Lonchura striata: one gene and its partner. The protein of the gene in region 1 interacts with the protein of each later gene in a pairwise test. Links are inferred from orthologs where the notes say so. Each region holds a gene or a part of one and is shown on either strand. Other genes may lie near its edges. The genes, in order: PLIN1 and ABHD5.

What was found.
Region 2: the proteins of PLIN1 (region 1) and ABHD5 interact in a protein complementation assay, tested with the Homo sapiens proteins (3 studies listed by BioGRID, with this or other methods). The link is inferred for Lonchura striata from reciprocal best matches to the Homo sapiens genes PLIN1 and ABHD5.

What each region holds. Positions count from the first base shown.
Region 1 is NC_134613.1:16,652,967-16,661,762, reverse strand, and holds the start of PLIN1 (perilipin-1), read right to left. Parts: upstream 3,847-8,796; 5' UTR 3,804-3,846; coding exon 3,681-3,803; intron 3,075-3,680; coding exon 2,876-3,074; intron 2,749-2,875; coding exon 2,666-2,748; intron 2,328-2,665; coding exon 2,075-2,327; intron 1,904-2,074; coding exon 1,569-1,903; intron 1,051-1,568; coding exon 904-1,050; intron 250-903; coding exon 16-249; intron 1-15. UniProt on the Homo sapiens protein: Modulator of adipocyte lipid metabolism. Coats lipid storage droplets to protect them from breakdown by hormone-sensitive lipase (HSL). Its absence may result in leanness. Plays a role in unilocular lipid droplet formation by activating CIDEC.
Region 2 is NC_134603.1:115,045,405-115,053,606, reverse strand, and holds the start of ABHD5 (1-acylglycerol-3-phosphate O-acyltransferase ABHD5), read right to left. Parts: upstream 3,472-8,202; 5' UTR 3,442-3,471; coding exon 3,311-3,441; intron 1-3,310. UniProt on the Homo sapiens protein: Coenzyme A-dependent lysophosphatidic acid acyltransferase that catalyzes the transfer of an acyl group on a lysophosphatidic acid.

The DNA of each region.
Region 1 (8,796 bases):
TGGGGGCAAACTCACCGGCACGTAGCTGTACAGGGTGCCCAGCAGATGCTTCGGGGCACTGACCAGGGTCCCCCCGAGAGCATCCACTGTCTCCATGGCCCTGGACAGCCTGCGGGGGGTGAAGAGGATCAAGCCCTCTGCCGCATCCCAGGCCACGGCTGGGACCTTCTTCACGCTGGAGATGCCCGAGGCGTAGGCGGTTTGCAGGTTGTGAGCCACGCTGCCCACGAGCCCGGGGTCCTGTCCCTCCTGCCCAGAGAAACCAGCTCAGCTCCTGGAGCTGCCCAGCCTCCAGGCAGGACAGGGGTGGTCCTGCTTTCCCTATCCCCTCTGCAGCTCTTAGCCTGAGAGATTTCAGCTCGCTGCTCTGCAAAAGCCAGCACAGCTCTTTGCAGCAGGGTCGGTGCCAGCTCCCCCCACTCCAGGCCCCGGGGGACCCTCTGCTCCAGGCTGTGCTTCCGCTGCAGTCAGAGGCAAAGGGCTCCGACCCCAACCTGCTGCTTCCCGTCCCCAGGTCCCAGCGGAGCCATGCAGGAGCCTGTTCCCAGCCCCACCGGTCACACCACCCCTCCCTGCTGGGACCACAGTGGGGGATTTCTCAGGGGTGTTCAGGGGATCAATAGGGAGTTCAGTGCTGACATCCCACACCTCCAAAGGAGTTTTGAACCTACAAGCCAGGGTGATTTTGCCTGGCACAGAGGCTGCCCACAGCTCCCAGCTCTGGGGAAAGGGAAGGGGACTCCTGGGGCTGCCAACCCACTCTTGCATTCTCTGAGCTGCATTTCAGAATTGAGCAGGGCTAGGGGCTTAGTCCCCAAAGGTATGGGGAAACAGCCCCCATGGTCCATGGGTAGGAGGATGCTTTGGAGCATTGCTAGCTCACTGCTCTGCTTTTCTCCATACCTTGGTGTGGTTGGTGTCTTTCTTCCCTGCCTTCTCCTGCTTCTGCTCCGGTGCCTTGCTCTGGCGCCGGGTCAGCCATCCTGCACTGCCCTGCCCATCACTGCGGGCCTGAGGGGCCGCAGGGGCGCTCGGCTTGGCCAGGCTTCCCTGGAAGGGGAGCGAAACGCCACCGCTCAGAGGGAGCTGGCTGGTCCCATCCACTCCCTCCTGTTTAGCCTGGATTTCACGGGGGTGCACAGGGAGCAGGGAGTTCATTTGTGCATCTGGGGAGAAATCCTGAGGGCAGATGGGAGCTCTGGGATTTTGGCACAGGTCAGGGAAGTTGTTCCCACTGCAGCACAGGGTAGGAAAAGTACCTCCTTCTCCCCATCCCCTCTGGGTCTCTGCAGGGGCTTTTTGCTTTAGGAAGGATGTTATGGCAAGGCCATAAATCAACAATTACATGCTGGGAAGCTGCTAAAAATAACTTGTCCCACTATTGTGGTACATGGTTATGTGTGAACATCACGCAGGAACCGCCAGGCCCAACTTGTCCTGCTGAGCAGGGGAAGTGAACTCTGCTCAGATTTGCTCCAAGGAGCCTGAAATGTCCATTCTGAAAGCAAAATCAGCTCAAAAGAGGATATGGGGGAGCAGGAACCCAGCAGTTGGGTTCTGGCACTCACCAGGATGGGTATCCAGGAGGCCAGCTCCTGCCCTTTGGTTTTGGCACGCTGGAGGCTTTGGGTGGTTTGCTGGTAAGCTCGGTGGGACACGGTGCTGACCAAAGCGCCAATCCGGCCCAGGGTGCTGGGAGCACTGGGAGCACTGGGAGCACTGGGAGTGCTGGGAGTGCTGGGTGTGCTGGATGCCCTGGGAGCACTGGGAGCCCTGGCAGTGCTGTAAGCACTGGGAGCCCTGGTAGCACTGGGAGAACTGGGAGTGCAGGGAGTGGTGGTAGTGCTGGGCTGCTGCTGGGACACCTTTGATGTTGACAGACGTTTCTTTTTGGGCTTCTTATCTAAAGGTAGAAGAATGGTGGGAAGGTTACATTCTGGTGAGACAACCCTCCTAGGCAGCCTTATGCCAAAATCCAGGAGCTGCCTCCTGCCCCATGCACCCTACAACTGAGGAGCCACCCAGCCAGTTGTCTCCAGATTCCCTCAGAGGGAATTTGGGGCATCAGGACTACCTGCTTCTTCATCCTCCTCTGGCAGCAGGTATTCCATCAGCTTCTCCAGCCCTCCCAGGGCTGTGTCGACCCCTGCAGCTGCCATCTGGGTCACTGAGTTCTTCCTTGTGTACTTGGCTGTCGTTTCCACCGTGTTCTTGGTGGCCTCATAGCCCTCCGCTGCCAGCTCTATGATCTTATCCATGGAGCTGCCAATGGTGCTTTTGGCACTTTGGAGGGGGCAGGAGATGGTGTCCTTCAGTTCAGATGCGAGCTGTGGGCAGGGAGATGGAGAACAGCCCCTCTGGTGTGCTTGGGGTGGCATAGGACAGACAGAGGGACCGCAGGGACCCCAGCCATGCCAGTTAACAGCTCCAAGAGGGGCATGACAGCTCTCTCCAACTTGGGCTGGAGGCAGCTGTCAGGGATGGGACACACGACACTGCTGACTTATATTTGGGAGCCCCAGCCATCGTTTAGCCTGCAGAGGCCCTTGGAGGAGCCCTCACTGGGAGATGCTGCCTTGTTTCCCAGCCATGCAGAAACAAGACTAGAGGAGATGTACTGGGGGGGGGGGGGGGGGTGTCCCAGATTGTCCTGCCTGTGACTTACCTTGTCAACAGGGTACTGCAGAGCAGGGATCTTCTCCTCTAGGTGGTCCAAGCCCCGGCAAGCCAGGTTGTTGGCCACAGCGACTGCCGTGGGCAAGAGCGCGGTAAGAAGAGCGCCTGGGCCGTGCCAGCGCGTGCTTGTGCCAGCGCTGTCCCCCCAGGGATGCTCTGCCAGGCCCCCCTGCCACGTCCCCCCGGCACACGGACTCACACTGCGGCTCCAGCCGGCGCACCACGGGCTCCATGCCCCACATGGCCAGGGCGCCGGCGCCCTGCACGCCCCGCTCGTACACCTCGCACACCGAGGCCATCAGCGGGTGGGACTCCTTGGTGCTGCTGTACTTGCGCTGCAGCGTCTCGCACGTCGAGCTCACCACGGGCAGCTGCAGCACCCTCTGCAGCACGTTCTCCTGTGCATGGTGCACGGACGTGGGTCAGAAACAGCTCTTCCCCCAGGAATGCCCCACTGCCCACAGCCAGCGGCTCTTGGAGGGTTGCAGTGACCTCGGCTTGCACAGGAAGAGGAAGGGGCTGTTTCTCTAGCCCCACTGAGGGTCTCCCAAGTATGCTGAGTAAGGACAAGCAGGCTGGCTGCCACTGAGGGAGCAGGGACACCACAGGCATCGGTCTCCACTCCTCCAATATCCTAATCCAGCTGTTTAGGTGCTCCCTCTGGCCTTCCACCCTGTGGAAACCTCCATGACTGCTGGAGGTCTGGGAACTAAATGGGGCACAGATGAAGGACAGGCTCAGTTGGCAGCTATCACTTAGTACTTTCATCAGCTCAAGGGTACCTTTTTGAATCTGAACTATTTAATTTCAAGTACGCAAAAAGGTTTGTTCTTTCCCTTTGATGATGCTCCATACTACTGCAGGTAAAGATCATATAAAGAGAATATGGGAACAGGTGAGACAGTGTGAGGTGTGGCTGATATTCATCCAGCACAGTCAACACACACTACCTGGCCCCCTTGGCACATCTCTACCCTTTTCTCTCTCCCTTTTCCTGCACCCACCTTGGCACTTCCATCCTGCAGAGCCTGAGTCTTCTTCACCGTCATTGTGGCGCATCCACCTGCAAAGCAAAGTTGGGAACCGCAGACTCTGCCTGAAAGCAGGGCTGGGCTTGGGCTCCCCATCACTCCTGCACCCCCAAGCACAGCAGCTGGGCTGACACACACCTCCCGTGGGTGCAATGGACGTGGCATTGCCCAACACTTGACTTTTTACCAGTTAAGCTGTATAACCAAAGCCTCCGTGCAGCCCTGCCCTGCCTGTGTGCCTTAACACCCAAAGATATGAAAAAATTCATTCAGAAGCATGTAGTTTAGGGAAGTTATGGTAAGGGCAGGGTAAAGTATGCTGGCAAAGCAAACTCAGAGCAACCAGGATGCTAACAGATGTGCATGAGAGTGGACTCTGCCTGAGAAGGGGTAAGAAGGCAGGACAGGAGCAGATAGAAAAGCAATGGGTAGGGATATGGTGAGATATCCAGCTGAGGTCAGCATCTCCCTCATACATATCTGCTGCTCATAATGCCAGCACTCATCCTGATGAAAACTCAGCTCCAGCCCCAACACAGTCCCCTTTTTCTTAGCAGCAGATGAAATTCTGGAAATCTAGAGAGAATGGGTGATCCCTGCTCTCACTCCCTGGTCCCAGTGAAGCTGTCCCGGAGCACCCAGTGGGCACAGACTACTCACCAAGGGCCAGCCCGTTCCCAGCAGAGCAGGGGCAGAGAGTGGTGTCTGCACTGTGCCTTCACCCTGGTCCTGTGAGGGTGATGTGTCGTGCTCTGGCCACTACCACCACCACGAGGCCCCACCTCCCAGTTGCGTGGGCTCGGGAGCTGATGGATTGTGGTGGAAATGGGCCAAGGAGCTCCCTGAAACCACCGTAATTGGGAACAGATGATGGCAGAAAATCCCCTTGGTCGCCTTCCCTGCACAGTCCAGAAGCCGCAGCATGGCTGAAACATTTTGGGGTGGCTTCTCACTCCTTCCACAGAAGATGAGAAGAAGCTGCCCTGGGACCTCACCAGCTCGAAAGCAACAGATCATGAGCAGACAGGGAGAAGGTGAATAGTCAGGGTTTCCTAAGAGATTAAAACCCTCCTGTATTTCTGTAAGCCCTCCTGTGCCTCACGGTGGACTAGGGTACGATCCTGCTGGGAAACCTAACATAGAACAAGAATGTGGTTCCTCCCCAGGAGAGTTTACTAAGCACAAGGAGCAGAAGGGAGATGTGGGGAACATATTCTACTTGAAGCAATCTGGTTTGGCCAGGTCTGCAATTTCTAAGATGATTCATGAGACTTTTGGTGAGGAGGCTGTAGCTGAGGGTCAGGGCAGACACTTCATTAGGAAAGTTTTAGGCATTTGGGGTAGATGGAGAAAAAGATCAGTTTAGAACTGATCTCTGAAGATCACCTCGTTCAACTCTTGCTCAAAGCAAGGCTACCCTGAAAGCCAGATCAGGCTGCTCTAGGTCTTGTCCAGTCTTAAAAACTTCCAGTGAGGGGATTTCCCAGTTCCTGTGCTAACCATACTAATGGTTAAAATATTTTTTCTAATGTCCAGCTGGAATTTTCTTTGTTGTACCTGACATCTCCTATCTTTGCTTTGTGCACTTCTGAGCAGAGTTTTTGCCCCACTTTGTGCTGGTGCAGCCTGTGTTCCATGCCCCTGAATGCCTTACTCTCTCAGTGATCTTCTGAAAGACTATTCAAGACGTCTCTTGTGATGGTGGGACTAAAACAAGAGGTGGTTCCCCAAATTCACAAATGCTTTGTAGAGGAACAACTGCTCTCCTTGACCAACCAGCAGTGCTCTCACTAAAATGCTGATCTTCCATGGCCTGAATGCACAGGAGGCACACTGAGGACTCACACCATTGTTAGCAAACCCATTTGTGGTACTGACTGAAAAGAAGACCACACCACCTGTATGGGACCATGCCAAGTTTTGGTTATTGACTACAGACAAGCCACACTGATGAGACGAGGACAGTGTGGTGGAAAGAGGACAAATGCCAGAGGACAAGGCAATAATCAGGGAAATCAGTGCAGATGAGAGGTCCAGGGCTGCTGTGTGTCCTGGATCAGCTGGTGAGGCAGGGAGCCCCTTGGCATGTGGCCCCCAATTCCCACAGCTGCCCAGCACTCCCATTCAGCACATGCAGGTGAGCATCCAACACAGCCCCGTGGCTCTCTGCTTGTGGCTGCACTGCTCCTACATGGGGGTGGGAGGCTTCTCAGGGGCATGGGAAAAGCAGAGATGGAAAGAAAATACTCCCATTCCTTCCCATTTGCTCCCAGCCCGGGGCTGTGCCTGCCTTGTTGGCTGGGTACAGAGGCACATGAATGTTCTGGGCTGCTTCCAGCTGGTGCTGGGGTCAGTCACTGCCCTTGAGACAGAGGGATAAAGGGCACCAGCCTGCTTGGAAGCTTGCTCTCTTGGCAAACTGAGATTTTTTCCAGCCCCCCTGGCTAAAAGTGCAGAGGGCACAGCAACCTCCTCTTCCCCTTGTCTGGAGTCAGGAGCCAACACAGCCTTTGCCCTACTAATGCCTGTGCTCATCCCCTCCCCTTCCTCTGGGGCAAAGGCTGTGCCAGCCCCAGCTCTGCAGGGCAAAGGTACCACGGCCTCCCTGCCCCAGCACTCCAGCTTGCACCAGAAACACTCCTGTGCTCCTGCAGGCAATGTTTAGAGCTCACAGATACACAGGATACAGGGAAGCAGTGTCACTTCCCTGCAGTCTGCTCCATACTCAGTAATACTCCACAGTGAGGGGATGAGCCAGATCCACAAATGTGCCTGCAAGGCACCTTCATACTTTGGTCTGGGAGGGGGCTGGAGAAGTATCTAATTCATTTCCATTCAGGATCAGCAACCCCATAACCACTGCTGGCAGATGTGTCCCCAGTTTCTTTTTAAGGATGCCCTCCTAGGCAAGCTATTTAGATTTTTTATTTTACTTTCAGTTAAAAAAATAGGTGTGCTTTAATTCTTTGTGGCAATATATCTCCAGGATTTGGAGGCAAATTTATTGCCTTGCTCTTGGCAGAAAAGCTTTGGGACACTTGGAAGACTGTTCACACCCTCCCCCAGTCACACTGCCTCTACAGAATGGGTGTATTTGGTATCTCCCCGGAGATGTTGGTTTTTAACCTTTGCCTGCTCTGGATGCTCACCTGGGAATCCCCAATGGCTCACATATTCCTTGAAATGTCATGCCAAGCACAGTGTTAATGTTAGGAAGGCCTTGTCTGTAAGCAGAAGAGAAGAAAACCTCTCATACTACTTCCATTACAAAATGTGTATGAGGCCACTAATCCAGAAGGAAACTCTTGCTAAAGCACTCCTGAATGCCATGCTTTATACATTGCTCAGGAGCTGACATTTTGGAGCTTCCAAGTTTGCAAGACTCTCCCTGCAGGGGGTAGGAGCTAACAGTGAGCTCAGTTTAATGGTTATCCTGGCTCCATCCCTTGCCCCCTCTGCCCAAGATGTTACCTTTTGTTCCCTCCCTGAACTGGCATTTGTCACTAAACTATCACCATCCAAATGAAAAGCTGTTTATAAGACACTGAAATGCAGCTTCTCCTGTCCCTTTCACCCAGCTGTGCCTACACTGGCCATAAGGCTCCAGCCCTCCCTGCTGGTACTCACAGGAAGCTGATGGCAATTCCCAAAAACCTTGTTTCAGGGCATTCTAAGGATGCAGTTTCATGTGATACTCATGTATTTCTTAATGTTTTTGCAGCTGAATTTGTGATTCCAAATTAGCTGGATAAATCTAGCTGCCAATTGGCTACTGCAAAAGGAAAGCTCTAGAATCTAACCACAGACAATGTCTTTTTAAGAGTGTCACCCTTCATAAAATTCAGAGATGGGAGGAATTCCTCCTCCTTCAGCACCTCTTTACACCACCTTCCAAGTTATACACAGACACAGTGTCACACTTATCACAGTTTATTGCTTATAATCAAACATCTTATTCTTACTCCAACTGCTGTATGAAAAAGAGTACAAAAAAAGGCACTAAAAGGATTTTCTCCCTATGATCACAATCCTATGGCTTCAGTCACATTACGTTAAGGTACCTTAAATCACCAGCCTCCAGCTGGGGAGCAGAAGGCAAATATTAGTGCTTAACATCCAGCAGAGGTACTCCTGTGTGTTCCAGCCTATGGCAGGTAGGGCTGAGACAGGCTGAAAGCTCACACCCCTTTTCCCTCAAAAAGGCTGTACAAGGTAATCCACACCAGACCCTATGGGAGAAACATCCATGCCTGGCTCAAGGCTTTGTACAGCGTTTGCCTGCAGGGCACAGGGAGGTGGGGATTGGGCTGTATCAATGGTTTTCCCTGAAAAGTGTAAGAAAGAGAAAGCAGTTGGCAAACCAGTGAAAATATTTTATGAAGTATTTTGCACCTAAGAGCTCCCCTGAGTGGGACTGAAAACACATTTTTAGCAATAAGATGGAATTCTGAAGACAAAAGCTGGTCAAACCTCCACTGTCAGATGATGAAGACTCCTTTTCCTTTCTTCCAGGAGTTGCTGCACACTGGGATAATGATCAGCTCTGACTAAGGCAGGCATGGCTTCCACATTGCCAGGAGATGAAAGACAAATGGAGAAAGAAACAATATTATAAAGGAGAGGAAGCCTAGAATATAGCCTATAATACATATCCTGAACATAATGCTCCATTTTGGCCTGAACTGCCAGTATGCTTCTACTTTTAGTGCTACTCATTTCTATATTAAAAAGAAGAGCTGCTGAAGGCCACATCTGGTCCTCAAACACACTTAATTATCCTGCCCAGCAACCTTTTTCTTTTCAAACACTTAATTGGCAGGCTATCACTTAATATTCAAACTTGGAAGTAATTCCAAACCCAACCACAACTTCAGGTAAATTGGAGCACTGCCTCACCTGCCTACTTAATTCCACATCCTTTGCCTTTTAGTAGAGGAGACCTTTTAATGTTCTGGTTTTAGATAGCATCAGAAATAATAAGAGATCACATTGGTCCAGGTTAGAGTAGTCTGTTCACATCTCCTTGACAGATTAAACAAAGACTTCTTACAGGAAGCAGCAGAACACACAGGCCTAACTCTGATGAAGA
Region 2 (8,202 bases), on another chromosome or scaffold:
AAGGATAACACAAAAATAACTGTGAACACTGGTGTTAGTGTATGTCTTTACCTTTACTTCAAGCCACTATTTTGTGAGACTAAAGGCCACTTACAAGCAATTTGATGTGGGCTTGTAACTGCAGATCACTTAAAGTTTTGTTTTAAAGAAAACCATTCCACTTTTCTCAAAGGCAGAAAAAAAAATCCCCAGTATTGCAGTTTAGGACCCTTTTTCTGTATGTATACATACATTTAGTAGCTGTTCATCCTAGCTATATTACAAGCCATAAGCCGTCTTGCTGCATCCACTGTGAATAAGTGATTCGATACTGGCAAAAGGCTCTCACCAGGCTGTCAGCCTCAAAAGCAGAAGTCTCCATCTAAAACCTACACAGAGGAGGTCCAAGGCTGTAAACAGGTTTGGAAATCACTAGCAGGTGACATGTTAACCAAGCAATCGCTGGCACTGTGACTACTAAAACATTTGTTTAGTTAATCTTCTAATTCAAAGTTAGGACAGGGCCATGAAAAGTTTTCATGAATAAATTTTCAGCTGAGATCTTCCAGAAAGTAACTGAACCACTATTATTCTGTTTTCACCATGCTTTGCACAGTTACCAAATTGCAACAAAGCAAGTGTGTTGCATAACAAGTTGAGTCACACTATTGTTTTCAAAGCAGATAAAACTTTGCATTTATTCTTTGCGTGCACCTGTCACTAGTAATTTAATCTAGGGGTTTGATAGTATATTGTAACTTCCTATCACTGCCACAGAATTCTAAATGAAAAATCATTTAACATATTTCTCTTGTTTATAAACCTCCCCTGGGTACTGAGCATTGCTTGACTTCAAAACATGAACAAATACTAATTTTAATTATTACTAGAAACTGACCAATAATAACACTAACGTTTCAACACAAATGCACTTTTTTAATTCATGGAAAAGACTGATGATATTTTGTTTTTAGGAGTCTTTAGTGAATTGGGAGGCTTACTCTGAAAAATACCACATCAACATCTAATTGTTCAGAAGTTCTGAAAACCAACACCCCTTAAAAGCCACTCAGCTGTGTAAACCACACGAGAAACTTGCAGTAATCCTCTTGAAAATTCAGCCTAACCCTATCAACGAGTGTCACGATCCTGCAATCCTGAAAGGCAACTCAAGTTGAGAGTGCTTGGCATCGTCTCAGCTGCACTCAGCACTCTGTGTGATCAAAGCAGACAGCTACTGCAGTTCAGGCTAATGCGCTGAATGAACACACAAACAAAACAGGCTGAGCCAGAGCTATTTTAAGATTTGTACTTAGAAAACCTGTAAACCAGCAACAAGAAGCTTTACAAACTACTTGTATTTAAGACTGAAGGGGTCAGAAAGAACACAGAACCAAAAAGGGTTTCACTTGTAGCTTCAAGTGGGTAATGTTGCAGAGGTTCTGCGGAGGTGAAAATTTTGGGAAGCTATTTCAAGTTTGAGGAAAGGAGGAGAGTGCAGAGTTACAGAGTAGACAAAATTGCATAGTGCTTTGAAAGGGAAGCTTTTGGAGTTTGCATTTGAAATAAGAATGCTGTATATATATGGTGATAATGGCATAACAGGGCATTTGGAAAAGATGGATAGTTCAGATCTGGTCGGATTGAGCTGACAGAGCAGGAAAATATGTAAGATGAAATGCCAAAATCCCAAGTTGGAAAAAGGACTAAAAAAGGAACAAGACTGAGGATGGGGGTAGTTTTGAAAGATAACAAAACAGACACATAACATGACAACATGCAAATGGCAATACATTTAATTAATAAGTCATGAATGCATGGGATGATTTTCATGCAAATAGCTGAAGAATTTTAAGTCTGATTTCTCAAAATAACGAAAGACTTAGTTATGCAAGAAGGGAGATGTAGAAGAATAGGCAAGAAATTAGTTTTTGAGGACTAGGCAATCAGTAATGGGACATACCACCTAATATTTAGAGCATAGAGAAAGAGGAAAACTTAAAGTAAACAATACATATAAAGCATATTTACACATCTGACAGAAGGAATAAAGCATATGTATGACTAAAGTAGAGCTAGTATATTCTGATAGAGCACTGTTTGGATTAGAACCATAAAATATGATGGAACAAACTGTGAGATAAGTGACCAGCAAATACATTAAGTACATTTGGTAAACAACTCAGATATAGGATGACTGTATTATTCTACAGGGGCAGACAACATATTTGGGGGCAATGAAAGGGTATAAAAAGGGATCTGCAATGGAAGTTTAAGTGTAACAAGAAATAAAGCATGCGCTAAGAAGAAATACTTGAGTAAAGAAAATGTGAATTGAAGAAAATACCATTGATTAGTAACTGGTATACAACCATTTGAACGTACACACACAAAAGACATAGTGAGGAACTATGTAGTTGCAGGCAGAAGAATGATTATTAGCTATAACAAAGTCATATATCAAGGGTGGAAGTGGTTACAAACAATTATTAGAGATACATGTTAAGAACAGGGTCAGGATAACTTATGCCATAGGAGTTATTTCAGTAGATGTGAATGCCTTGGCACAGTGAAAGGAAATAAAAGGTTAGCAGGCAAAGCACATAGTACCAGAAAAGTTAGTCCAACAGTGTATGCTTGTAATTTATAGATGTGCTCTCATCTCCTACTTATATAAAGTATAAAATGATGACACAAGTGTACTGTCAAAACGAAAATAGAGCATGGATGGAACGGGAAGATGGGGTATCTGTATGCAGGCATGAAGCCGCAGAGGCACAAGGAGCATGGGCCAGCACTGTATACAGCCGTGTGACCTCTAGGGCGCAAGGCAAGGGTGGCTGACAGTCGGAGTGCGCACACACGCCAAAGCAAAGCGGCAGAAAAGGCGCAGGGACACGCCTGCAGGCAGGTGTGTAATGACAACAGCCGGCCGGCCACAACAGAGCTGCAGTGCAGAAGGGGAAGCAGCGGGGGGACACGGGGCTTGCAGGGAGCCGGCGGCACACCCCGCCGGGAGCCCGCCCGTGCCAGGAGGCGGGAAGCCATGGCAGGAAGGCGGGCGGTGCGGCAGGAAAACATGGCAGGCGGTGCGCCACGCTCCGCGGAGCGCCCGAGCGGCGGTGCCGGAGCGCGGCAGGGCCGGAGCGGAGCGGGAGCCCCGCGGCCGCTCGGGGAGCCGGGAGCCCGCCCGGCCCCGCCGCCAGGGCCGCGGGCAGACGGGCGAGCAGCACCCGCGGCACGGCACGGCCCGGGCGCCCCGAAAGGCTTCCTGCCGCCGTCTGGCCAGCCGCGGGGAGGACAGGGGTTACCCCGCGGCCGCTCCACTCACCCTTCGCTAGGAGCCTCCTCCTCGGCCATGGCGGCGGCGCGGTGGTCGGCAGCTGACAGCGGCGGAGGGGCGGCGGTGGCGGCGGCCGGCAGCAAAGCGAGGGACAGCGCGACGGCGCCGGCACCGGCCATCACGGGCTCCTCCCTCTCTTACTCCCTCCCTCCTGCCCGCCCGCCGCCTGCGTCATGCCCGCGGGGCCACCCACTGCCCCGAGCGCCGCCCGGAGCGCCGCGGGCGTGAGCGGGCGTGAGCGGGCGTGAGCGCGGTGCCCCGCGAACGGAGCGGGCGCTGGGCGCGGAGCCCCGCAAACGGAGCGGGCGCTGGGCGCTGGGCGCGGAGCCCCGCAAACGGAGCGGGCGCCGGGCGCGGAGCCCCGCGAACGGAGCGGGCCCCGGGCGCTGGGCGCGGTGCCCCGCAAACGGAGCGGGCTCTGGGCGCGGTGCCCCGCAAACGGAGCGGGCGCTGGGCGCGGTGCCCCGCAAACGGAGCGGGCGCTGGGCGCGGTGCCCCGCAAACGGAGCGGGCGCTGGGCGCGGAGCCCCGCAAACGGAGCGGGCGCTGGGCGCGGTGCCCCGCAAACGGAGCGGGCCCCGGGCGCTGGGCGCGGAGCCCCGCAAACGGAGCGGGCCCCGGGCGCGGAGCCCCGCGAACGGAGCGGGCGCTGGGCGCGGAGCCCCGCGAACGGAGCGGGCGCTGGGCGCGGTGCCCCGCGAACGGAGCGGGCGCTGGGCGCGGAGCCCCGCAAACGGAGCGGGCGCTGGGCTCTGGGCGCGGAGCCCCGCAAACGGAGCGGGCCCCGGGCGCTCCCCAGGCGCCCGCCAGCGGCATGGCTGGAGCAAGGCTCCCGTCGGTTGGCTCCTGCTCCCGGGATGGCGGCACAGATGACGCCCGTGGCAGAAGGGCCGCGGCTTCCCGGGCGCGCAGAGGGGCGCACGGTGCATGGGGGTGTAGCCTGTGCTGTGCTCACTGCACACGGTCCTGACATAACTGCGTACACCGCACACACTGGCATACTGTGCATATCTACCCCACTGCTTTCCCACCGAGTGGCGTACAGAGGGGACACAACACCGGGCAGCGGCACTGGAGAGGTGGCAAAGCCCCCGTGCCAGCACATAGCTGACAGGTAAAGCAGGAGAGGGAGCACAACCCAAACTAAAGCGTCAGCTCTCCCACAGACATATCCTTGGCAATTCGCTCAGCAAGGCCTGCAAAAAGGGCAGCAGGGCTAGCCAGTACTAGGTGTTCCAGGTTGTAATGTTTGTTTTTACATTACATATAGATGTAATGTGTATTACATTTATAAGAAGCAAATGAGGAGTTCTGGATGCAACTTAAGTATTAACAGTCCCTAAGACGATTCCAAGTAGAATACCTATTGCGATTGTCATTTTCAAGTGTTTTGATAGACTCAAGTGCAGCCGTGCCTATGGGGAGGAGAATGCTGGAGTGTTCTTGTTTTAGACAGCATTTGGCCTCATAATATTGGTTGTGTTATTGTTCAGCTGCATAAGAACTGCATTTGTATTGGGCAATCAACAAACCTTAACTGAAACAAAGCAGCAAAGTGCAGCAAAAGGAGGAAGTGGCAAGAAGATTTTAAGTCTTGTGTTTCTTCTGAATTTTGTCACTGAGCTCTAAAGCTGTTTTTAGAAAAACAAATGGAATGATGATTACTGTTTCTTTTGGTCTTTGAAATATTTTGATGAAAAGTATAAGGTGAATTTGGTAATAGCTGAAATAATTCTCAGCTAAAACCATTCTGCAATTTGACAACAGTGATTGTTGAGATTACACAATCTCAGCTAAAGTTTGTTTGGCTGTGTCACAATGGTTTGGCAATCCTGATATTTTCCTCAGGAGAGTGTATTTATTTTTATTATTGCTCTGAAAAATTTTATTTGCGAGAAAAGTGACTATCAGTGTGTGTAGAACTATACGATCGCTGGCAAAGGTTTGTAAAGATGGTCACTAGAATTTGCAAACAGCCTGAAGCAACAGCTCTGAATGCGATGATTTTATTTCTTTATAATTCCAATGGAATAGTAAATTTAAAACCTCATAAATGAGATTTACATCCTACTCGTGGAACATGCAAGTGTTCAGACACAATTATCTCTGTGATTTTAATTCAGTGGTGCTCACCTGAACACTAATGGGTTACGCTTGTTTAAGAGTGTAATTGTACAAGCAGCTTGCTCCCACTTAGCAGTCCTTCTTTCTTTTACTGGGAAATGACTCAGTTTCTTAGAGCTGATTTGATTATGTAAATAAATCAGTATTTCTGTGCATGAAGAAATGACTGTGATAATGCTGGTAGAAGAGAGTTGTGCGTCAGTTGGCTAATGTTGCAGTGGAGTGTAAATCAATGAAGGACAGCTGAAATATAATGAGCGGCAAATAGTTCAGATGAATTTTTCCATTTTTGTATTTCAGAAAAATTTCTGGACACTGAAAATGTCTCAAAGGGAATGGTTCCTGTTATTGTTTAAGCTCTCACTTTTCTGCATTGATGCTTAGTGGGACTTGTATCTGGCCCTCATTATTGAATTAGTTTAATACCATTCTATTTAATAAGTGGTATGTTACCTGTGAGTAAGCTACTTCTCCAAACTGCATCAGGTGCAGTTTGCAGCTTGCTAAAATCAGTCTGACTCTTCTGCAGTCAACAAACTGCAGAGGGGCTTGACTTGGCCAAGTATTACAGACTAGGACTGTTTAAACATGTTTATATGAAAATAAGGTAATTTGCTCTTATTTTGACATTTTGTAAGGCCTCAGAATAGCAGAGAGAAAGCAGAATAAAATGGATTGGTTTCTGTAAATGAACCTGTTTGTGATGGCAAGAGGACCTTGGAGCTGTTGTAGTATGCTTCTGGGATGTTCTGTCCATGCATCGCTGTCACTGGAGGTCTGACTTCCTCTGCTGTGCTCCTTCAGGAGAGAAGGCTGTTTGTCAGCTGCCTCAGGAACTGGAGGTGCAGGAGTTGGAGTTAGCTGTGCCTAAGCCTAAGCAGAAGCCCAAATAGCACTGGAACACTGAAGATGTAAATAAGGAACTCTGCCCAGAGTCCTGTTGTCTGTGTTTCTCTGGGGAGACCTCTTTTTTTTACTGAGGTGTGGGAAGAATCCTGGCATTAATTGAGCTGCTTCTGCCTGGTTCTGGACCTCAGTACTATGCCAGCAGGATGTTTATGTCTTGGCTAAGTCACTGAAGAAACAAAAAGTCCTAACTATGTCAGTTTTCAGTGGAGTCTGGAGACCCATACTGTTGGGCCCTGTCAGATGCCAGTTGTCTACAGGGCCATGGCATCCCTGGGCAGCAGATCTGTCATACTGCTTTGTGGACTCTGTCTCCATGCTCCCCTCCAAACTGGAGTGGCAGTTTGAGACCAGTGGCAACATGCTTGTTGTGTTCCTAGTGTGTCTGTTCCATGTTAGCCTGTTTCCTAGACATACGTGGGTATAAGGCAGAGTTTTAAATGAGTATAGGTTGACCAAGAATCATTCAAATGCTGATGGAGATCAGTAGATCCTCCTCCACATTCACTTTGCCAACATCTTCCAATCAACATGTCTGCCTATGGCGAGCATAAGGAGGCTATTTGTACAGATTCCCAAACTCCTGGAAGCTGTGGGGGATTTTGGTGACATGGGAGGCCCTCCTTGAAGCAAGGCTAATGCTTCAATATGTTCCTTGTTCCCAAGGCCTGCCCTGCATGGGAAAGCAGTCTAAGCCTCTTGTCCTTTCACACCCTTGCTGTGCAGGAGGGCAACCTTTCTTGTGCTCCTTCCAGGACTCATATCTGATCCCACTGTGGGAGCAGGCTGTCCATGAACTGGAAAATCAATGACACGGTGGCCACGACTGTAAGGGGACAGTCCTGGACAGAATGTTTGGGGCAAACCAGAGTCTCTGTGAATTTTGGCACTTGAACAAAAGATGTATAGTTGAAGAGAATTGTAAGAAAAGTTTTGCTGGGTTCTTCACCATGATCATGTGATGGGAGTAAAGAACAGAGCAGTCCTGACTGAGCTGCTGTTCACACCGTCTCAGAGTGGGTTTGCATTCATAGCCTCTATCTGCCCCAGAGGCAACATTTTGAAAACGTGCCCATGGCAGTTGCAGTAGAAAGTTGAGTAACTGTGTGCAAGAGTCAGCTACAAGAAGGCTAAGAGAAATTTCAAGGAGTTCAAGGAGTGAGTGAACTGCAAAGAGGGGGCCTAGATACATATTATTAATATATCAGTATATTCAGCAGCTGAGGCTGTGACAGGCCGTGTTGCTAGGCAGAACTTCCATCTTGTCATGCTTGGCTATTCCAGAGTTCATTACTCACATGTGACTAACCTAAAATTCCCTCCTAGACACAGGAGTGGCTGGAGAGAGACAAGATCTCATGTTTTCAGGTGGGTGAAAAGGTGCTGTGACTGTGTCTGTCTGGGTCATACATGGTCCCTGTGAAGAACCCATGCCGATGAGACATTTGCTACATGAGACAGGGCGTGTAATTTAAGCAGTGTCCTTGTGCCACAACCTTCTTTTTTTCTCTCCCTCACCTGTCAATACATACATGAACACAAGGCTGGAGACAACTGAGCCTTCCAGATTTTTTGAAGTCTGCACAGAACAGTAAAGCTATTCTAGTTTTGATTACAGCCAGAAAGAAGCAAATAGCTGAAAAAGGTCATTAGCTGAGACTGTAAATGACTGTAAATGGTAAAGTGATGAGAGATTAGTGATCTGCAGGACCAGAACAAAGAGTATGATCAACATGAACCCCACAGGAGTCAGGAAGGCAATTTTCAATGAGTTAAGAAATCAGCTTGGCTAAATCACTCAAACTGGAAGGACAAACCTACAGGAAAGGAGAAAGTAAGTTAGCTTTTAG